Drosophila melanogaster: one gene and its partner. The gene in region 1 interacts genetically with each later gene. Each region holds a gene or a part of one and is shown on either strand. Other genes may lie near its edges. The genes, in order: jumu and l(1)sc.

Region 1 (3,929 bases):
GCGCACGTGTTTTCCCAAGTCCGTTCGTTTGATTTTCTATTGAAAATGTGCAAACTTTGCTGGAGGTCAGTTCCTCTGACGGACTGACAATTTAGGCGGTCAGTTTAGCCCAAACTTCAAAGCCATACCCCCACTTTCTGGCCCAAAATCATTAGCCACTTGGTTGGACTGTGACTAAAACAGATGAAAACCGAGAGATTCGAGGTGAACGCTTGGCCTTCAAAAAGTTTAAAACGCAAAAGCCGAAGAAGAGGCCACCAGACGAAAAACTCAGCGAACCGGCGGAGAAACACACTAAAGTACTCAGCGCATATTGGCGGCCAAGGAAATAGGACTGCAAATTTATTAACCTGTGCTAAACTGTAGAATGTGATAACGTAACTCTACAGTGAATACTCGACCAGAGAAACTCTCTAACATTATACAAGTAAATTTATGCCGAAGAAATAATCCTTTTAGTTAAAAAAAAATCTTTGGTACCTTCTCCTCTCATACTGTGTTATATTATAGAGTTACTCTTTGAAAATGAAGATAAGAAATTCTTAAACCTTATAAATTGCAAGAAATAATATATTATAAGGTGTGCTATTGTTTCATCCGCCGCTGTGTGTGACAGAAAATAAATAAGCCAAATAATTGCGAATGGCTACAACAAAAGAAAGACTTGTGCTGTGTGCGCCAAAGTAAAATACTCCAAGTGTCTTAATAATACAAGTAGAATAATACAGGCAATCCCCTCCCGTGAAAAGTGAATTGATGTCCACAATTAAGTGCAAATAACAGTCGCTTAACAGAGGTGAATTCTGCGGCTAGCCGAGTTAGTAACCCCCAAAATAAACAGCAGACTTCCTCAAACGCAATGGTACTATACTTCCATTATTTTTTATCGGCGCTCCGCTGTTCCGGTTGTAATTAATCATCAATTTTTTGGGCGAAAAAGAAATTTTTCAAAGTTTAACGATCAAATGTAAACACAGACACACACACACACAAACGTTAAACGCGGCGAGGGCGAATTGGCGAGTCAACAACACAGCTTTGGAGCGAGCGAGGCGGGGAATATTTGGCCGCAGGGGCGAGCGAGATGGCGAGTGGAACCAAAGTTTCGCCGCCAAACTGTTCTTGGTGGTGGGTTTTGCTCTTCATGTCGGTATGGGAACAGTTGGGGTGTGGGGAACGTGGAGACCGAACGTTAAATTCAAAAATTGCGCCTGTCTGTGTCTCGGCACATGCGAGTGTATGGGTGCGTGTGGCCGGCCGGCGAAATGTTCGCGAAAAGTTATTATTCTCGCTTAGCTCGCCTTTTTTGTTTCAACTCACCGCATATTTGCTGAAGAATCCCTCATGTATGCCGCTCGAATAATCCTCTAGTTCGAACATGTTGAATCTTTTATGTTTTTAGCATGCACTTTGTTTTGATCGATGTTTCCGCCTGGCGAAGATTTCACCGGAATATCGTCCGCCTCTCTGCTTCTTACTGCCAATTCCAATTAACGGTTCTATTTCGAAACAGCGCACAAAAAATATATTCAGTCTCAACACCGTTGTTCCTTGGCAATCCAAGCCGTGATCTCTGCACTTTTCAAATTCTACTTCCAGCAAAAGGACATGGCGCTCGCGCTCAATATATCGCAGTTATCAGGAGCGCACAACACCGGTCTCGTATTCGAAGTCGCGGAGCAATGATAAAATAAACCCGCCCGGTCAGAATTCGAACGAAAAATGAGAGCGCCCGAGACTGGAGTGACCGTACCTCCGTTTTTGGAAAACGTTGACAATACACGGCACCGCAACCAGTGGCAGGTTGGGAGCTCGGGTAACCATTTAGCCGGGAAACGAACCCTGCGTGTAACGGCTTTTTAAAAGGTAACCTCACTGTTCGGCATTCTTTGTTATTAGGTATTCTTAATTATTTATATTTATATTTTTGCTTATAAAAGCAACTAAAATCAATTTTGAACTTTAAAAACAAAAACAATTAACGCAACGTGATACAAATTATTCGGCTTGATGTTCGATGTGATCTTTTCCAGCTTTTTGAATGTCATTACACTTTTTGGACTTGTGCTCCCTTGTCGACTTCTTTAGGCTTGGTTTCATATTTGGATTTGCCTAAAATTGGAATTTTATAAATACTAATATTATTAGTATCTGTATCTTCATTTTACATTATCGTTTGTCGCTGCTTCTGGAGTTTTGGAAGCCAGTAGTTTTTTATCCTTCTTTAATGTGCTTGTTTTCTAAATATATTATATATTTTATAATATTTTAATATATGCATATCTTTTGATATTTCTTACTTCATTTTCATTCGAATTTTGTGCCTGCAGTTGCTTCCCATCCTTCCTTTTTGTTCCTGTTTTCTAAATATTTTATATTTTGTAATGTTTGAACAAATATTTTTATATCTTTGGATATTTCTTACTTCATTTTCGATAGATTCTTGTGCGTCTAGAAGATTTGCAGCCACCTTGACACACTGACGTGCAGCCGGAAGTTTCTTCACATTTTTCTTGGGCACAGGAGGTCCTTCTTCATTCATTTCATTAGATGCTTGTTCCTCCAAAAGATTTGCAGCCGCGTCGGCGCACGGAAGTGCAGCCTGCAGTTTCTTAACATTCTTCTTGGGTGCAGGAGTTTCTTTGGACCTCGCTGCTTCTGTATTTTGGACTGTGGAACTCAATTTGGAATCCAGTTGCTTTCCATCCTTCCTTTGGGTTCCTGTGTTCTAAATATTTTATATTTTGTAATGTTTGAACAAATATTTATATATCTTTGGATATTTCTTACTTCATTTTCGTTAGGTTCTTGTGCGTCTAGAAGATTTGCAGCCACCTTGACACACTGACGTGCAGTCGGCAATTTCTTAACATTCTTCTTGGGCACAGGAGGTCCTTTGGTCCTCGAAGATTCTGCTAGGATGTTCTGGTCAGATAAGGTCAGCACTTGGTTCTGCTTCTTCGTAGCTGCACTGCGAGTAACCACCATTTTCGGTTCAAAGCTAACGTAGAAAATTCAAAAAATCAAGATAATGGAAATTTGGTGTAGATTCAAGCGAAGTGCAATAAGATGTGGGAATTTCAGTAAAAAGGTAAATAGGTTATTTGGTTAGTGGCGCGACACTAGACAACCAGGCTACTTCCAAACACGAAGTCACAAATTTAAAAATATCTGAAATATTTTTCCCAAAGATATATAACCACTTAATAAACTTATAATAACCACTTAAGTTCAGTCGCAGGAAATAAAGCCCTTAGCTTGCAGTTCATTTATTAAAAATTATAATATTATATATTATAATTATAAAAATTATATATATATATATAGTGACGTATTTGGGTGGTCCAAACCAGCCACTTCCATTATTTCAAAGAAATCAGTAATGCACTCTAGTAATTTTCCATAACGTATCCCAGCTGCGCAGCATTCGTTTATCTTTGGCAGCGCAGCCGTTCTTGTAAACATCCTAAAGCCTGACCTAAGCAGATTTGACTGCCCTCTTTCAACGCTACCTAATCTTAAGAACCCAAGAGCGAGGCTCTCCCGAAATACAAATATTGTTCAAATACTGAGGCTTCTCCTCAATCCAATTTGCATTTGATTTTTAGTCTTAAGCTGAGATCCAAAGAATAAAGTCGTGAAACTATTTCTCCTAAAACTATTTTTTATTTCTTGGCGTTGTCCTTAGTCAACTGACGGGACATTAGTTCGACTCATAAATAAAACAACAATTTTACTGGCGCAGTCGGTAGGATACAAAAGTATCCGAAAAAAAAAGAACCTTCGAGTGGAAAATAAGTTAAATTTTATAGTCCAGTGCTCGAAACATCTCCCAAAATAAATTCGTGAAAACTCTTCAACTTGGATTATAATTCCAATTCGGTTATCCAATAATAAGTGGAAGTGAAATACGAAACAAAAATATTAAG
Region 2 (3,914 bases), on another chromosome or scaffold:
CATCTCCTGCCTAGATGACATTCCTGCATATTCATTTAATGGCCCTAATATTTCACCCTTGGGGTGGGTTTACTTTCCAATTTTTAGCTACGGGGTTAGCGGAAGTGCATTTCACGGCTCGCCGACGTCGTCCAGCTTGATGAAAAACTTTGTGGCGGTGTGCGCCAGCCACGTGGATTGTGCGAGTCTTCAAGTACTGATCCTTGGACTAGGACAATTTCATCCTCTCAGGCGTGACTGCCTATTTCCGGGCTATTTACGCGCCATTAACAATTCCCGGCCGAATTGTAGCTCGTTAGGGAACCAATCATGAAAATATTCGCTGTTGTTTCCTGTCAGGTGCTTAACTCTATGTTGGTTACGAATTTTGAGTGAGTCATGTCCACGCTCCAAAAGTAATTGAATATAAATAATAAATTGGGTAACTTTTTTGTGAAATTATTATTTCTATCGCTAGTACCATTATTAAGCCTGAGGCCAAAACAGCTAAGCTAAAAAATAATAATAATAATATAAAAATACATAAATTAAAAACGAATATCATAACATATATATAGTCAAAGCAATGCTTCAAAATGCAGATTGTTTAAAAACCTTTTTGGCTCTGATGCTGGTATGAGAACGAGAACTCGTTGTAATTACCCTACATGACGATCTGAATATATTTACGAGTAAGTGATTTCAGTAAAAAACATTTGGAATTAAATTTATCAATATGTTTTTATTTTGGCTTAAAAGTAGTTAGTTTAGTGTCTTCCATGCTTATAACAAACTTATAACTATGAAAAAAATATGTCTTCCATTGCGTTAAAATATAATAAAAAAAAATATGGGGTAACTTAGAGGCTAATGTGAAATTTGAGACTTGGTTTTACACTCACTAAGGCAACAATTTAGGGTATTTACAGTTTGTACAATATTTGTTTGTTTGGGACTTTTAGTAAGACCCCTTCACTGCTCTTGCCAAGATGAAATATAATCGAGTAGCTCCTCGTCATCTGGCTGCTCGTCACTGAAGCTATCAAAGGAGTCGAATTTGAGGTCCTGCTCTTGTAGTTCCTGTTTGATATAGCCACCTCCGGAAATCTCGGATCCGGAGTACGACGGCGTGGGCGAGGCGGAGTGGTACGAGTGGGATTGGGCAGACTGGGTGGCTCCCGTCAAGAACTGTTGCGAACTGTCCAAACTATCGTTGTAATCGTTATAGCTGCTGCCATCGTTGCTACTTTCATCGGCGGAATTGTAGATGTGACGAGTTGATGAAGCAGTGCCATCATCAAGCATGTCCTGTAGTCCTCGAATATATTCAACGGCGATTCGCAGTGTGTCCACCTTGGATAACTTCTTGCTGCTACCACGTCCTCCATTGGACAGCGAGTTTACCACAGTTTGAGGCAAATGCTGGCGGAGATTGACGAATCCATTGTTCACCTGCTTCACGCGATTGCGTTCACGGGCATTTCGTCTGGCTACCGATGGCAATTGCTCGCCATAGGGCATGTTATTGTAGTTGAACTTCTTCTTCTGGGAGGACAACATGGGTCCAACATTGGACTGTTGACTCTGCTGCATATTCTGCAGTTGGCTGGTACCCAAAGGTATTTTCGGAGCAATCAACTGGTGCTGCTGCGTTTGATGGTGATGCTGATGTTGCAGCAAGAAAATGTTACTGTTGGTCAGCTGGTAATGCTGCTGCTGGAATTTGCTGCTGCAAATGCTCGTCATGGTAATCCTTGCGAGAGTTTTCTAAGATTTAGTTTACAGATGTTGACTGTGTGGAATCAGATTCCGCAATGATAATTGCTGTTCTGATCTAGGGCTTTAAATACCCGGCAGTGGCAGAGGGAAACGCGCCGCGACAGAGGCAGCGACTTCGGCAGAGGAGCTACAGGGGTTGGTACGGGGTCGGATCCTGGCTACCTGCCCTCGAAAAACCGGGACCTAAGTCCTTTGCACAAGTGATCGTACATTTTTCCTCTCTTTCTAGGGGTTCTTTTTCTGTGGTGGGTGCCTCTATTCCTACTCAGTCTCTGTGTGCCTACCTACCCATCCTTTTCCCTCTCCCACACACTCTTTGTCCTTTGTGTCCGTCTACATAATGCATTTTTTCCTTTTGGGAAAATTTTAAATCTCAGATCTGCAAGATCCTTGTCATGGCTAAAAAAAAAGATTTTGAATGCACTTCCACTTTTGTCGAATGTCGTTTGCATTGAAAGCGAAAAATAAAGGAGAGTGAGATCTTGGAAGGGAATTTGATATAAAATGTGATCCATCAAATGAAAGAAAATGATGCGAAGGCAAAAGAAACAAACTTAAAAGACCATGTCGTGGGACTTTCACTGTCTTTAAAACTGCGTATCCACTTTTATATCCTGTAATGTTATGAACCTTCATTAATATTTTTTCTGACCCATCTGCATTTGACACGTGCTTCCGATCAGTCCGGTGCATTAGCATAAGCTTCAAAACAATGATACATAACATCGCAGAGCGGCGCAGACAAAATCCCACAAGTGTGTGCTGTATCATGAATACCAAGCGTACTATAATAAGTAAGGGGACGGCCAGACAAATAAAAACGAAACCATCACAAAGGCATTGAATATTGACAGCAGTTGGGATCAAAGTTGCAGTCGAAACACTCTTACCCTTTCATCAAACGCTTGTGATACAAGAAAGCGATCTAAATTTGGGCTGTGCACTCGACAAAAAATGTAATATTTCTGACTGGTTAATATATGTCTTGTATGAACAAACAAAAACTGAATTCAATTAATTTGCATAACTCATTAAATCGTATTAAGGCTACGATGCAATTTAAAATATTTTTTTGGGAAAATATTTTGATAGTGTTGCATTATTGAATAAATATTTTCTTTTAAAGATAATTATTTCGTGGAATACTTCTAAAAATCGAATGGCAGTTTTGATTTTAAAGCATGAAGCATTTGTGTTGCTTTAATATCAAGACATCACTCATAATCAGGTTTAGTTCTAAATTATCAAATTAGTATGTCGAAAAGCATTAAAAAAGGTCTTTAAATGTTATTTGACTAGCAAATTAGTATTTCAAAAAGCTTTAAAAAATGTTATGTCTTTATTTATTTGCTGCTTGCTGTAGGGTTGTGACTTATTATGCCCAGTCCAAGAAAGTAAAGTTATTCCGTTTACCAACAATCCCCCTGCAATTAAATTAAGCATTCATAAATCTGTAAGGAGCTGAATCTGAAACAAATTTCTGGATTCGCAACTTGCAACTTTGTTGCAATGGGAAGGCAATACCGTTACCGAAGACGGATAAGTCGAGTTACGAGATTGCTCCCATAAATGCATAAAATCTTAAAAAAAGCCATAAGCAGCTGCCCTAAAGGAGATCAGAAAATTAGAGGAAATTGATCCCACAAGAATGAACGCTGAAAATCATAATAAAGCAAAAAAAAAAAAAAAAAAAAAACACCATTTACCTAATAATTGGTTTTTAAAAGTTGCTACCGAATTCGTTTTCTAATGCATTTATAATATCTAGAATAAAAATCTTTGCGTCATCACCTTTGTATTTCTCTTGGTTCGAAGCAAACCCTTTTCAAATACTCTTTTAATATGCTCCAAACACACCCACCAAAAAATAGGAAAGTAAAAAAGGTTTTGGTTTCAATTTCATAAGCCTCGGACACCATGCCCTATAATGTTCAGTGATTAATTAATCCGCATGAGATCAGAATAGTGTTGATCCCAGTTTCGTTTTTGGGGGACGCAGTAAATATAAAATAGTGAACAACTGGCCAGGGTTGTCAGGTTCATGGTTTCCCAGGTTTCCAATCAGCTAGTGTACCATAAAGTGGCGGTCTCTATATAGTTTCAATCTTCCAATAAGTTGCTGTACAGCGACCTCTATTGTCCAAAGGTTTCTCAAG

Evidence for each region.
Region 2: of jumu (region 1) and l(1)sc, changing one enhances a phenotype caused by changing the other (phenotypic enhancement), as found in Drosophila melanogaster (one study listed by BioGRID).

Annotation. Positions count from the first base shown.
Region 1 is NT_033777.3:10,347,979-10,351,907, reverse strand, and holds the start of jumu (jumeau), read right to left. Parts: upstream 1,727-3,929; 5' UTR 1,381-1,726; coding exon 1,321-1,380; intron 1-1,320. Other genes in the region: CG31406 (uncharacterized protein), read right to left, coding at 1,999-2,112, 2,169-2,240, 2,301-2,363, 2,426-2,728, 2,791-2,988.
Region 2 is NC_004354.4:407,607-411,520, reverse strand, and holds l(1)sc (lethal of scute), read right to left. Parts: upstream 1,801-3,914; 5' UTR 1,726-1,800; coding exon 952-1,725; 3' UTR 704-951; downstream 1-703. UniProt on the Drosophila melanogaster protein: AS-C proteins are involved in the determination of the neuronal precursors in the peripheral nervous system and the central nervous system.